Regions from separate parts of the Mus musculus genome. Here region 2 is reported to be linked to region 1. The links are microRNA targets in miRTarBase. Many come from high-throughput screens and were not tested one by one. Region 1 holds a microRNA gene; the other region holds the end of a gene's coding sequence.

Evidence for each region. The annotated mature microRNA mmu-miR-378a-3p reads ACUGGACUUGGAGUCAGAAGG and lies in region 1 at 2,303-2,323, shown strand. An mRNA with a match to its seed (bases 2 to 7 or 8) in the 3' UTR can be bound and repressed. Matches are read on the target gene's strand: a 7mer-m8 pairs with bases 2 to 8, a 7mer-A1 pairs with bases 2 to 7 and ends in A, and an 8mer does both.
Region 2: miRTarBase lists Il17re as a target of mmu-miR-378a-3p. Seed matches in the 3' UTR shown: 7mer-A1 at 5,940-5,946.

The regions. Positions count from the first base shown.
Region 1 is chr18:61,393,045-61,400,160 of GRCm38, reverse strand. Mir378a (microRNA 378a) reads left to right here and starts at 2,261; the gene lies at 2,261-2,326. The region is part of intron 1 of Ppargc1b (peroxisome proliferative activated receptor, gamma, coactivator 1 beta); the gene reads left to right. Gm52354 (a long non-coding RNA gene) reads right to left here and starts at 1,002. Exons shown (of 2, transcript XR_003952648.1): 1 at 969-1,002; 2 at 1-673.
Region 2 is chr6:113,469,410-113,476,521 of GRCm38, reverse strand. It overlaps Il17re (interleukin 17 receptor E), which reads right to left. Exons shown (of 15, transcript NM_145826.6): 15 at 5,764-6,965. The coding sequence ends at 6,379. It overlaps Il17rc (interleukin 17 receptor C), which reads right to left and starts at 5,067. Exons shown (of 18, transcript NM_178942.1): 1 at 4,735-5,067; 2 at 4,430-4,451; 3 at 4,139-4,291; 4 at 3,833-3,895; 5 at 3,635-3,744; 6 at 2,250-2,361; 7 at 1,925-1,969; 8 at 1-123. The coding sequence starts at 4,839. Gm52872 (a long non-coding RNA gene) reads left to right here and starts at 6,918. Exons shown (of 2, transcript XR_003956348.1): 1 at 6,918-6,993.

The DNA of each region.
Region 1 (7,116 bases):
CCCCTTCCACGTGCCTTGTGCTGCGCTCCGTTACAGGCGTAGCGAGCTGCAGGTCGCCGGCGCATGCTGTAGCATTGGGGGACACAGCCAGGGCCACCTAGAGTCTACTGTCCCCCACTGGCAAAGTTGAGGGGTACTACAATTCCTCCCGCAGGTAGAATCCAGCCAGGGTCGGGGGATCCCTAAAGGCTGGCTCTGGGTGTTGTAGGCGCGTCCTCGGCGCCTGGCACTTGCTGCCGTACTTTCACGTGCACTTGTGGCGGGGCTAAGGGAGGCGATCGGTAGCCCTGGAGTCCCCTGGTTCTCCAGCATCGGGTACCCCATAGCCCCCCACCTGCTCCGGCAGCGCAGAGTTTCCTGTCAGTTGCTGGCTAGGGGAATAGGGGTCGGCAGGGCACGTGGACATGCGGGCGGAGATTGCGTCTTCCAGCTCTCACTAACCGGAGGAGACCCGTTAGGAGCGAGGAAGGCAGGATCCGGGCGGAAGGACTATCTAGGGGGTGCCTGGGTCCCCCTGCGGCGCGCGTTCCCGGCGCGCGCTCCACGATGCAGGGGGAAGGGAAGGTGAGGCGGCGTCCCGGGCTCTGGCTAAGGCTGGGAGCCACACCGGCTACAAGCGCATGACAGGAGTGTGTGCTCTGGTGTTCGGGAGCGAGGACGAGGAAGCTGTGGGCTTGGAGAATAAAATGGGGTTTGCTGCTAGGACAAGCAGTTGCGGGAACATGTGTGCACGCAGCGTGGGGGCCCTCACCTCTTCCTCCGTTTCCCCCTCTAGCCCGTGCCTGTTGCAAGCCTAAAGTTTGGCTCCCGAGTTAGGGCTTTTGCTCCCAGCTCCTGTCTGTGTGTCTCCCCAGAGGCTGGGGGTGCGACGGAGCCTGGGAGGAGACCCCGGATGCGGGGACACGCCTGGGTCCGGAGAGGGGCTGCAAGGCGGAAACCCGTGGGACTCGCGGGGACAAGCTGAGTACCTGGTGTGGAAGCGTTTGTGCCGGCCCGTTTTGCATAACACTGGGAGGGAGGGGAAGGCGGAGGGGGGGGGCGGGAGGTGGGAGGAGAGAGGGAAACTTTGCTTCTGGTTAGAATCTACCAGTCTTTGGGCGGTAGCAGCTGTCATGGGACCGGGTGGGCGGGGAGAGGCTTGCAAGCTGACTCCTTGCGGTGAGACGCGACTTGGAGGGGGGACGCAGCGGCCGAGAGACGTTCTGCTCCGGGAAACCTCCCGGTGGCGAATTGAAGCTGGCGACTAGGACAGGCGTCGTTGCGGGGGTGTCGCCGAGAGGAAGCCCGCCACGCGCGGGAGACGGCGGGCCATAGCTCTCTGCAAACGCCGTGGCGTCCCGGAGCCGCGGGGGCCGCGTGGTGTGTGGCTGGCGCGCTCTCGGGTGGGTTCATAGCAGAGGCCCAAGGGGATGGTGGCGGGTGATCGCGCTTCTTCAGGTCGGGAGGCGGTGTTAATGAGCGGGCTGTGCGCGGGTGTGTGTGTGTGTGTGTGTGTGTGTGTGTGTGTCCCCTGAGCCTGTGCACACGCCGCGCGCGCCGGGCGCGTACCTTTACCTCTGACGAAACTGCAGTGGAGCGCCGGGCAGCGTCGCCGGGCACGGTCACACGCCCGGTGTTTATGTCTGCCCAAGGCGGGCCTTAGCACCCCGGGGGTGGACAGCGTGGAACCAGGGCTGGAGGTGGTAGGGGCATGGGGGTCCGGGAGAAGACCTGCACCCCAGATCTCGATTGCCTGGAGTCGTGTCCATATCTCTACACTTAAGAACCGAGTAGCCCAAAATAGCCAGTGAGACTCCTTCACACATACCAAGATTGTCTGCTCTGGACAGGACCCTCGACTTTAACTCTAGCTTTTGGTGTTTGGCTCACCGATAATTAATTAACTGTTTGCCCTTTTAGCCACCAGCCTATCCCACTCAGTAGGGTAATTTCCTAGCTTCACCAAAGGAATCTGGAAAATTGGGTAATCAGTTGTCAGCAGAAGCAGTGCAGTGAAAGTTAATTTGGGACGTTTGTTCCCCCCCACCCCACCCCCTTTTAACTTAATCACGTGATAGGCCGAAGATCTCCGGGTGATCTTTGCCGGGCCAACTTGGGAAATGTAATTGATACCAGGAGCTTTGCAGCCGCCCCTAGAAGGCTCAGAGCTGAGCGGGAATGGGCGGGGCAGCCCGCCGCCTCATTTTACAGTTGGGGAAGAGGCTGCGAGGGGTGAACTGCTTGTCCACGACCACTCAGCCAGGGGGTGACAGAGCCACCCAGGGCTCCTGACTCCAGGTCCTGTGTGTTACCTCGAAATAGCACTGGACTTGGAGTCAGAAGGCCTGAGTGGAGTCACCTTCCCCGCTCTCTGGCTGGGTGATCCTGGAGCAAGCCATTTTAACTCTCCAGCCGTGTTTCTCCATCTGTCCAATGGGGCCGGTGTGGTGCTGACGGAGAAGCCAGAGGCCTGCTGGTGGGGGTGAGCCTGTGTTTGCATGTGAGCTGTCTGGCTGTCCAGCTTCTTCCCCACAGCCCTTCCCAGACCCTCCCCTCCCCCCAGCTCTCCCCCTCGGGAGGGTTGGGGAAAGTGGATTGTCTCTGTTCCCCCAAAGAGTTCTTCTTGTCTTTGGTGGCTAACCCAGGCTTAGATTATAGAGATCTGTTTGAGAGACTTAACGTTTATTCGTTGGGGCCAAAGTAGCCATTTATCAGAACCAGGCTTGTGGAAGCGTTTTGGAAATGTTTGAAGATTGGGTTCCAAAGACTCTGTGCTGACTTCGCTTTTGTTCCAGCTGTACCCCTTGCTTAGTGGGCCTTTGCCTACCATCCCGCATGGCTTTCTCCCTTAGTAGGCCTTCCTGCCAGCTTGCCCTGCTCTCTCTTCTGCCTTTCATAGTTCGTTATAAAGCCAAGCACTTTATGTGTTTGAGTCTATCCAGTAGGATCCAAGTTGAGTCTTTTATCTTTGTGTGCCCACATGGCACCTGTCACCATGCTGAGCAATGCCCCTTTGCCTGGCTCTTGATGAGGTACATGGACTACAAATAGGGGTACAGCTGAGCCTTGCCAGACAAGCTCATGGGCTGACAGAGAAGACAGCTGGGTAGTGAACATGGGAGAGGGGGCATTGTCGAGGGCTACAGCTGCTAGCAAAAGCCTTGACTCCAAAGGCCATGCAGGAAGCCCAGCAAATAAAGGAATTATTTGAAGTCACTTGAGAGCCTGGAAGAACTGTGACAGTGTCAGAGACGACAAGGACATTATAAATCAGCAAGTCCAACCCTTATTTAAAAATAATTTTAACAGTGTTAGAAAACACTGCTAAGTGTCATGAAAAGGGAGTCATGTTTTATATTTTACATTTGTCTAAATTAGCTAATTTTGTATGTGTGTTTGCATGTGTGTGCTCTGGCATGTGTGTGGAGGTCAGAGGACGACGCCATGAGGTGCAGAACTTTGTTCTCTTCCACAAAATGGGACATGGAGATTGAACTCAGGTGGTCAGCCTTTGCCTGCTGAGGCCTCTCACCAGTCCAGAAATATGTAATATTATCCAAAGATAGCTGCTTTAAAGTCTATGTATCTCTAGATGTTTTTTTTCTTTCCTATTCATATAGACCAGTTATTTTGGGGGGTGGGGGGAGAAGAAAATGATAAATGAAGTTATTCTGTTATACTAATTTGTATCTTGCAAGCACACTGTTTTGTAACTTGCTTTTTTTTTTTCTCCTCCTCACAATATGCTGTGAACATCTTTCCTCATCAATAAATATTGTGCCTAATATCTTAATGGCTGTATAGTATTTCATGGGACGTTGAGCCAACATGTGTCAATCAATCCTCTGCTGTCGCTTGGTTGCTTGCGTTTATCCTACTGTGAGCAACGCCGAAACAAATATATTTGTGTACATGTGTTCTTTCCTTCATTTATATTCCTAGAAGGGAAATTGCTCTGTCAAAGGAACCACGCAGGCATTTGGTAAACACATAAGGAAATCGTCTTCTAGAGAGATTGCATTCATTTACACACTCATCAGCATTGTGTGGAAACGCCTGGCTGGCCATACCCCAGTTATTCATGCCATTTGTATTCTACGAATTTGGTCAACAATATACTTTGTTACTCTTGCCGTTCATGTGCGTTTCTTTGATGTTCAGTGGCTGCCCCCTTGCATGGCTCCAGGGACTTAACCTGACTAGGGCAGTGAGGGAATGAAGAGGGACACATGGAGACACAGAAATGACTGGGATCCGCTGGATGGGGCTCTCTGATGGAGAAACTCTCAGATGCTCAGAGTGTATTATATACTGTGGTATAGTGAGGTGGCATTTATTGCATACAGCCGAATTAAGGAGGTGGGATTTATGGTCTGTTTCTGTATCAAGGGGCCAGGTTTAGCTACCTTTGGTAGGAGCCATCTTCCTTGGGGAACAGTCTTCAGACTGTAGTATCTAAGGGAAGACGACTAAGGGTGGACGTTTTCTGGCCTCATTGTCAACATTCACACTTGGACCCCCAGGAAGGCTTTGCCATGCTTCAGAGCCCCCCACTGATGGGGGTGGAGCGGTGCAGGGTGCTTTGCCATTTTCCTATGGGTCTGAGTTGTAACCATGCCAACACCCTCTGCACCCCATGCTCAATCCCTTCCCATGGACAATCACTCCCTGCTGGTTCCGTACAGTACCATGGTCCTACTTGGCAGATGGATCTTTGGGTTCTACTTGGCAGATGGATCTTTGTTAAGAGGGACCTGAGCACACTGAGGGGTCCTGGGCACAGGGAGGACTGGAGAAACGACTTGAAGTCCCAGTGCTCCTTGATGGGTCTGGTATAATTCAACCTCCACTGCCACTGAAGCCAGGGCCAGCTGCTGTCCAAGTCAGAGTTGCAGCTGTGTGGAGGCAGATGCATTTGCCCACCTTTGGCCTGCATGGACTGGGAGCAGGGTAACTTCTTCATCTGAGTACATCTGGGGGCATGCTCCCCAGAGGCCCGAGCCCCACTTTCTTTGGACCCTCTGGCTGATGCTGGTGGGTAAGCATGGCTAAGAAATCCAGCCTAGCAGTTGGGCACCTGGGGCTCGTGTTTCCCCCTGGCCTTGGGGCCTCCTCTCTCCAACTGGTGCCGGTCAGCCAGGAACTACACTACACTAGGCTATGAGTCACCCTTTTCCTTCCCTCTCATTTAGATGGAGCACTGGCTTGAGCCAGAAGCCGCCCCGCAGATGGGGCCTCAGGCTTGGAAGTGAGGTCATGACAAGAGCATTGCAGTGCTAACAGCTGTCTTCCCTTCCTAAGCAGCAGCATTTATAGAGTGCCCTCCTGGTCACATGGTCTTTGCCGAGCCATCAGTTGGCACCATTACAGTTCTTCCTCACAAAGATCCGTATGACCTAGGTATTGTTTTACAGTCCTAAAGGTTTCATGGTCTCTAAGAACTCACTTCCTTGCCAGTCTACTCACACTGCCTTGGTACTAAAGTACTTCTGTTGCTCCAGGCCTCAGTTTCTCAACCTGCGAAATGGGGCTAACACACCCCATCAGGAATAAAAATAATGGATGTAAAATGAGCATTGACCTTCTACAATGTGGAGTTTTCTCACTGAAGCCCTTTAATGGGGGAGGTTTAAATTTTGATCTGGTCCTGTACATGCAGTCTTTTGGGTGATTGGTTTGCTATCCTGGGGGGTTGCACATAAGGCCTTGAAAAGGCTAGACAAGCATTCTATCACAGAGCCCCATCCCTAGCCCTCTTTTGACTTTTTATTTTGAAATGGGGTCTCACTAAGTGGCTCAAGCTGGCCTTCAATCTGTGATCCTCCTGCCTCAGCGTCCAGGGTAGCCAGAATTACAGTGCCCTCAGTCCTGGACTGCAATCATTGCTTTTGTTAGAAGAGAAGCATCATTTCATTTGAGCTATATGAAGGTGATACAGATGCTCACAGCCAGTTTCCCTCTGACTCACCAAGGCAGAGGAACAGCTCAGAGTCATCTTCTGGACACCACTGGGATGTGAAATCCTTTGCACTGGGCTGACCTTTCCATTCTCAATCATCCTCCTGTCCTAAGTCCTTGTCCCATCTACAGCCAGATTCCCCTAACGGCTAACAGGCTTTGCCACGACAGACAGTGTCTTCTCTCTTTTGCCCTTGGTCTTGGTCACACAAGAGCAAGGTAGAGACATTTTTTTTTCTGTAGAAGGCTTCTCTTCCCCTCAACATACACAGCCTCCCCAGTTGTCTGTGTTCCTGACCAGAAGTCCACTCTCACAGCTGACAACCCATACATCCCTATTGCCCAGAGCTCTCCCTACCTTCACCACAGGGCTCACTCCTAGTGAGCACATGCCGTGGACTGGGACAAGTGTGTAGTAACAGTCCGTCACAGCACTGTAGGGCTGTCCACTAAGAGCCCTCTGCAGTCTGCCTTTCCTTTCCCTTGCTCCTGCTGCTCCAACCACTGGTGTTTTTACTGTGTCCACAGGTTTGCCTTTTTCAGAGTATCATGTAACTGCAATCGTGCAGTATGTAGGTGTGAATGGGTAGTAACGTGATTTAAGATTTCTTTGCATCTTCTCATATTTTGAAGGCTCAGCCCCCTACAACTTTAAAGCCGAACTTGAAGTCTGATGTGCAAAGGGCATCAGGTCCTTGAAGTTGGAGCCTAGGCGCCAGGATTGAACCTGAGTTGTTGACTTTTCCCAGATTTTAAATCAGGACTTACAAGTGCCATGACCTTGAACAAATGTCCCCAACATTAGTCGGTAGAGATACAGAACTGGGGATAACAGTATGTATACTCTTCTACGGCTCACCCCAGAATGTGCTAGGAGACTTCCTCCAGGGACCTGGGTTCGTGCTGTTCTTTGCTGTGTTCTCATGTCTGTCTGGCCATTTCTATTTACCTGCAAAAGCCAGCTCCCCTGCCTGTGCTGTGTATGGATTCTCCCATCTTTAGACCTAATGGCTTCAGCCCTGCTTTCCAGTGTGCTGGGCCTGCGGATCTCTGGAATGCTCTCCACTGAGTTCGAATCCTGATCTGTAGTTTATCTACTGTGAAACCTCCTTAACCACTGGAAGTCACACGAGCTTATATATGTTTTGATCATGTTTTTCTCTTCCTAACTCTTCCCGA
Region 2 (7,112 bases), not on the chromosome of region 1:
AGGATTTGAGAGCATCCGGGACTGGACGCAGGTACAGTAAGAAGCTAAAGTCCTGCTCCTCAGAGACATCCAGTGTCAGAAGGACATTGTCACCATCTGTAGACACATTGAGCCAGGGCAGGACTAGTGGGAAAAGCAGAGAGAGATGGGGAAGTTCAGACTCTCTTCACCCCCTCTGCACAGCTAAGCCTGGGCCATACTCACCAACTGCCCCGTTAGAGATTCCATCAAACCCCTGGAAGGGTTTGGACTAGGAGGCCCTTGGAGGACAGACTGTATCTCCATCTCAGACTGGGCTTTGTCCCCAGACACAAGCCCAGAGCCAAGCCCATAGAGGCTCCAGCTTGCTTCTTGGGGACAGCTCCTCTTCTGCAGCCAGTAGAATCCTGCTACCTCCTTAATGCAATCACTGTCCCTAGACTCTGCTTATGCCCCCACATAGTAATCCCAATATAAGCTAGTCTTTACAACAGCTTCCACGAACCTTAACCAGGCTAGCTTCTGAGACCTCTCAAACCTAATATGTTAGTACCTCTATCTTGAATACTTTGCTGCAAACACATGAGATGCCTTCACATTCCTTAAGCACACTTTGCCTTGCTCCTGCCCTACAGCCTTTGCACAGGCTGTTCTCTTCCTATGTGACTCTGTCTCTCAAATACAGGGTTTTTTCTTCATATCCTTCATTACAGTGAGGCTGTCTCACTACTGGAACTCCCATCCTTCCCATCCCCCTCTCTTGAATATTCTCCATAACTTGTCACCATCTAATATACTGTATATTCTACAGGAATATACTGTATATATCCCAGGAGTTTACTGGATCTTCCCTCAACCCTTTTCTAATCCCAATTCCCATTTCCATAAAGACGGGAAGTTTTATCAGGTTTGCTTATCAATTTACTTCTAGTCTATAACTATGTCTGGTACGGAGTAATTACTCAGTCAATCGTTGTTGAATAAGGAAGGCACTCACCACTGAGTGACAAGAGGAGATGCCTGGTGTGTGTTTTCAAAGCTCTGGTGTCTAGTGATTTGTATGGAGTGCCAAAGAGGAATGCCAAAAAAAGAAAATGGAGTTGAAGAGAAGAAAGGGGACTATTTAATAGTTTAAAACCTGTCGCACACCTTCACCTTGTGCTAGCTGTAGAAGTCATTAAGCACTAACCCAACGGAGCCAGATGTGGCGAAGCCCACCTGCAACCCTGGCTGCTTGGGAGGCTGAGGCAGGAAGATTGCAAGTTCAAGCCCAGCATGGACAACATAGCAAGAGCCTGTCAAAACCAAAACAGCAAAACAAGGCAAAAACAACCTAACTACACAATCACTTCACTGAACTAGACATTAAAACCAGAGCACTTTGCCCGACACGATGGTGCACATTCAATCCCAGCCCTTGGAAGGCGGAGAGGGAGGTGGGTCTGTGTGAGTATGAGACCAACCTGGTCTTTATAGTGCCAGAGCTGCACAGTGAAACCCTGTCTCAAAAAAAAAAATCATTGTACTTATATCTTTTTAAAATATATGCTACATATGCATGAGAAATTCTCTTTAAAAGAAAATACAAAACAAAAGTAACATCAAAATCTCCTCATTTTTTGGTCGCTGTTTCAGGTTTAATAGTTTACCCACTCTGGTCAGTCAGGAGAGGCACCAGAATCTTAACAGTGCTTTGGGCCACTAGATGTTCCTGGGATCAATGAGCATTTGTAATATTTCTAGTGCCTGACATACATAGATGAAGCAATTCTGCAGTTCATGTGGAATGAGCAAATGAATGAATGAATGAATGAATGAATGATAGAACATGTCCTGTGACTTTTGGAACCTGGCATCTCTGAGGCTGATGTCAACCCCAAGCATCCAATTGTGTAAACTCCAGATCCTGCCCTCCCCCACCCAGCCCACTGTCCCTGGCCCCTACCCCAGCAGCTCTGGATGCTGTCCCGGACTTCAAGACCCCTGCAGTCTGGGGAGAGATCACAGAAAAACGTCCAGTGGGGATGGGGACCAAGGCAAAAAGGGAAGCAGTGCAAACCATGGGGAGATCCTGAGAGGGGCTGCCTGTCCCCTGAAGACCACCCACGCTTACACAGGGCACAGAGCACCTATCCCAGGGGCTAGAAGCACACGAAATTGACTGAGGAGGGTGTCAGCTCAGAACCTTGCCTGAAAATGATGGGACCAGAAAGATGGGGAGTGACCAAAGGGACTGCAGACTGGGGAACCAGGACTTTGGGGTGACTCACCAGGCAGCTGCTGTGTGAGGTTGAGCTCTTTCTGGTACCTGGGCTTCGTGTAGGACCAGATCTGTACCTCAGCCCCAAGACTAGCCTCGAAACAGTCAAATACCGCAGAACCCTATGAGGAGAGGGTGGTGGATGGCTGGAGGTGAAGGGCTCAGAATGCAGGCCAAGGTCTTGGGCTCATGTGAGTAGACCACTCTGCCTACCTACTGGCCCCATTTCCAGCCAATGACTGCATCTATACTATCTAGCTTGAAATCTATCACTATAGTTTCTTTCTTTTGAACAGCTTCCCAGTTCTAAAGCACGTATCTCCTACAGCTGTATTGGCAGGCCTGGGATTAACCAGGCTATCTGAGTTGCTGCCTACACCTGCTGTCATAGACCACTTGGTCAGAGGGAAGCTGATTAGATACGCCAACGCAAGCGTGGAGCAGCCCCCGCAGGCACACATCAGAGGTGCTCATGGCTGCTCTGTGACATAAACTAGGCAGGCTAAAAAAAAATTGTGTGCATGTGTGCGTGCACACATGCCCATGTGTGTGTGTGTGTGTGTGTGTGTGTGTGTGTGTGTGTGTGTGTGTGTGTGTGTGTGTGTGTGTGTGTGTGTGTTTGCTGGGTGTCAAACCCAAGGCCTGAATGAAGCATGTTAGCCAAGAACTCTACCACTGTGCTACATTCCCAGGTCTTTGTTCTTATTTTATAGCCATCAAAAGTTTCAAAGGACATTTCATGAAGGAAGTTATAAATTGCAAGTAAGCACGTGTGGTGGTTTCTATATGCTCGGCCCATGGAGTGGCACTACTAGGTGTGGCCCTGTTGGAGTAGGTGTGGCCTCATTGGAGTGGTTGTCACCAAGCCTGGCAGCCTGAGTTCAATCACAAGGACCCTCATGATAAAAAGGGCAAAACTGACTCTGTACCTTGTCCTCTGCCCTCTATATGAACCCCCAGTACACACACACACACACACACACTAAATAAATAAATAAATAAATGTAATTTAGAAGTATAAATACTGCTGCCACACACATGCACACACAAATTTCCAGGTATAAACCATGACATATATGGCAGAATGGCTAAAATTTTAAATTTTAAATGCCAAGTGTTGGCAGAGATGGAAGCACCCGGAAGCCTCATGTGCCGCCTGTGAGAAGATGAAATAAGATTGTCCCAGAGGACTGCTTAGTGACTTCTCACCCAGTCACACGTGAGCCAGGAGTGTCCTTACCCTCATTTTATAGACAGAAAAACCACCACAAAAAAAGCCAAGAGGCCTCACTGCTCAGATCAGACCCAAGACTTAAGGAAACAGTGCACGAGATTGTTAAGGGAATCTGGGATTCTGGAGGTGGCTCTTCTCCTCAGGAGGAGCCCTTCACATACCACGGACTGACCAGGCTGCACCAGGTCAGCGGGCACCTGGACCTCCAGCAGGGCACAGCGGGCGATGGGGTAGGCCTGGAAGGAGAGCACCACCTGGGCCTGGAGAGAGGCTGAGAGCAACAAGCAGGGGTCAGCCAGGCCATGGGCCACGGGAAAGACCCTGACTAGAAGCAGTAGTTGGGCCAGCTGGCTCCTCACCGTTCCTAGACTCCTGGAGTTCTGAATCAGACTTTCCAGCTTCTTCAGGCTCTGCCCAGTGCCCTGCAAGAAGCAGAGAAGAGAGCAAAGCCCAAGTCGGGCATCTGCTCTGGGCTGGTTCGGGCTTAGATTCCCTTGCATAGATGCCATGGCGCATAAGCAGAGGCCTGGGGGAGAGCAGGCTGGCCTGGAGGTACCTGGACCAGTATCTTAGACATTGCAGATGTCCCCAGAGTCTGCAATCCTCATGCCTTCCCCAGACAGGCTTATGTGTGCACTCAGTTACGGGCGGGCTTCCTCACTTACCATGCACGGCCAAGTGGACCACCACACGGACACAGAGGGCGCAATCTGTCTTCTGTGGACACCTCAGCACCAGCTCCGTCTGCAGGCGGGTAGGCACTAGCACAGGGCCTGGGGCAGACTGGAGGCTTCCAGGCAGGCAGAGCACGTCACCATCTGGGTGTGAAGGGGTGGGGTGGAAGCTGGTTTGGTTTGTGATACCTGCAGAGGGCAGGGGAGCTTCCAGGCTGAGCGCCAGCAGTTGCTTCCCTTCAGCTCGCCTGGAAGTCATTCTTTTCAAGTAGCAATACTTACCCCAGAGGTGGCAGGAGAGGCCCTGGGAAGGAAGAAAAAGTCAATTCAATTCAAGCGCCTTTCCTTGCTTGACAGCCCCCTAGCCACTGCCTATCTCCTTCCAGCGCTCCTTGTCCTAAGCCCTTCCCTGAAGAAAAGACCAATTCTTGTCCCCTTTCCATCTTCTCTTCCCCCATCAGCACCAGACAGACCAGACAGGGCAGTTCTGATAGAGGCAGTGACAGGAGCCAGACTCGGGCTGTGATGAGGCAGAGACTGAACTCTAACTCTGAGCCTTTCCCAGCCTCCCATAGTCCCAGACTCACTAGAGAGCAGCGTGCAGTGTCCTGAGGCTCCATCAGTCTCTCCAGAGAGACGACCACAGGGTTTCGGCCCAGTGCCAAGGACAGCAGGAACCAGGACACAGGCATCTTCCAGGTGCCGGACAGCACCCAGGCCTGAGGCCCCGTCCTGCCCCCCCAAGGGGGGGCAGACCCCTCGCCCCTGCTGACAATCAGCCCCGTGTCCCTGGGAGAGAGCAAGGGCTAGAATTCCTCTCCAGCCATGCTTCCCCACTCCAGTGAGCCTGGACTCCAGGCCCAGTTTCAGCTGGAGTGCTTTCGATTTGGCTCCCAGCAGGCAGTGGCTGTTCCCGCCCCGCCCTGTCCCGTCCCTCCCACCAACTCCAGGCTTAGGAGCCAGCAGCTTTGGACCTGGGTGGTGGCTTCTCCTCCTCCTCCTTGGCTGGTACCTGGCTGGGAGGAGCCCTGGGAAGGCAGCACAGCTGGACTCACTACTGTGTAAAGGAACTCCTACCCCGGATCTCACCAAAAAACAAAGATTCTGATCGATCTGGTCAGAAAGACCCCAGGCTTGTGGCATGCCGGGTGTTTCCACTTCCTGTATGACCCTGGGATCCTAAGGTCCACTGGGTCCCCTCTTACTATGCTCAGGTTCTTCCCTGGGTCTCAGTGACAGTGACCCTCGTGAAACAGGAGCTCTGAAGACAACGGGCTGCTGTCAAAGGGCACCAGAAAGTGAGCTCCCCACTGCCTGGCCCAGGTTCAGGGGAGACGGAGGGGCAGTGAGGCCCGGGAGACCCCTTACTGGGCTGAGTTCTGTCGAGCTGTTGCTGGCACTGGAGGAGAGCGATGGCCATGCTGCCTAGCTTCCGGTTTTCCTTTGCTCTTGGAAGAATCATAGTGAGGAGAGGATCCAGGAGGCACTGGGTCCCCCTTGCCTTTCACAGGCAATGCTTGTGGGAATGAAAGGACTTGGGCTGGTGAGCTGTTCTAGAACAAGCTTAGGGCAGGCTTCCTGACTGGCCCAGGCACACAAGAGCAGCACACTGTTCCTTAATGTGTCTACTACGTTTGCTTTTATTCATCTCTCTTACCAATTGGGTGATGTAGGCTTCTAATCCTAGCACTCCGGAGACAGAGGCAGGTAGATAAACCTCTTTGTTCCAGGCCATCAAGGGCTACACAGTGGGCTTCAGTCTCAAACAAACAAACAAACAAATCAAACTACCTCTGGACGAGGCCTCCCTCTGGGGAAGGTGAGGGACTCCTGGCTGACGGGGTTTCTCTCAACTCTGCCGAGCAGAGCACCTCCCCCCGCCCCCACCCCCTTCAAGCGCTTGACACTTAGGCCCTGCTTTCCAATCCTGGCCTAGCCCTCCAGCCTGAACTGGAGTGCTCGATGCAGATGGTTGTCTTTTTTTTTTTTTTTTTTTTTTTCAGTTTTGAAAAGAAATGGAAAAATCGTCCCTCCTTCTCAGAAAGGGCTGAGGACCTATCAGGAAAGCCCAAGTTCCTCTCAGGAACTCTAAGAGGGAGCAAATGTGAGGGAGGTTGGTCAAGTGTGGGACTTAAGGTGAGTCTTACGGTTTGGGGGACAAGAAGCACCCCCAAAGAGTACATGTGTGAGGCCTCATTCTGGAGTTCCTGCTGTTGCTACACAGGCTGAGGCTACAGACAGCTGAAACCACAGGGACTATTGGTTGAGCCTTGGTAGTCATCTTTGGCAGCCTCAAGTTCCAGCAGGTGACACTGCTCCAGACGGTTTTTCAAGCACCGCTTAGCCCCAAGGTGACTCCAGCTGGAGGCTAGGGTGGCAGGCTGAGCATCCAGTGCTCTCAGCAGGCGCGGCAGGTCACGAAGCAGGCGGTAGCGTGGCAGAGCGCGCAGCGGCCGGGGGATGTCACCTTTGGCGCAGAGGCGACTGAAGTAGGCGAGCAGCAGCGGACGTGGAGCAGCGCACAACAAGGTGCGAAGGGACGCAGCCTGCGGGTCACCGCTGCAGGCGGTGCTGGGACCCGCACAGTTCCACAGGAGCAGCACTGTGCCCTGCTCCCGCGCCACGCGCTCCCGCGCTGCCCAAAGCCACGGCAGTGGTCCAATGCGTGCTACGTGCGTCCCTTCCCAGAGATCCACGATCACGTCGCGTCCACCTCCCAGCGCCGTCCGCAGCAGTTCGGCCAAAGCTCCCACCAGGCGTCGCTGTGCCTCTGAGTCCGCTGCATGTAGGAGTAAAACTGGCCTTGTTCGACCGGAGCCTAGGGACCGGAGCAACAGCTGAGTAGGGTAAGGGGCGTCTTGGGAGAGGAGGGGGAGTAGCGAGGACAGCCAGCGTAGCCCTCCCCTTGGGGACTCTGGCCTACATTCTAGGGTGTCCTGCATGCACAATGTGTCCTTTATGAGGA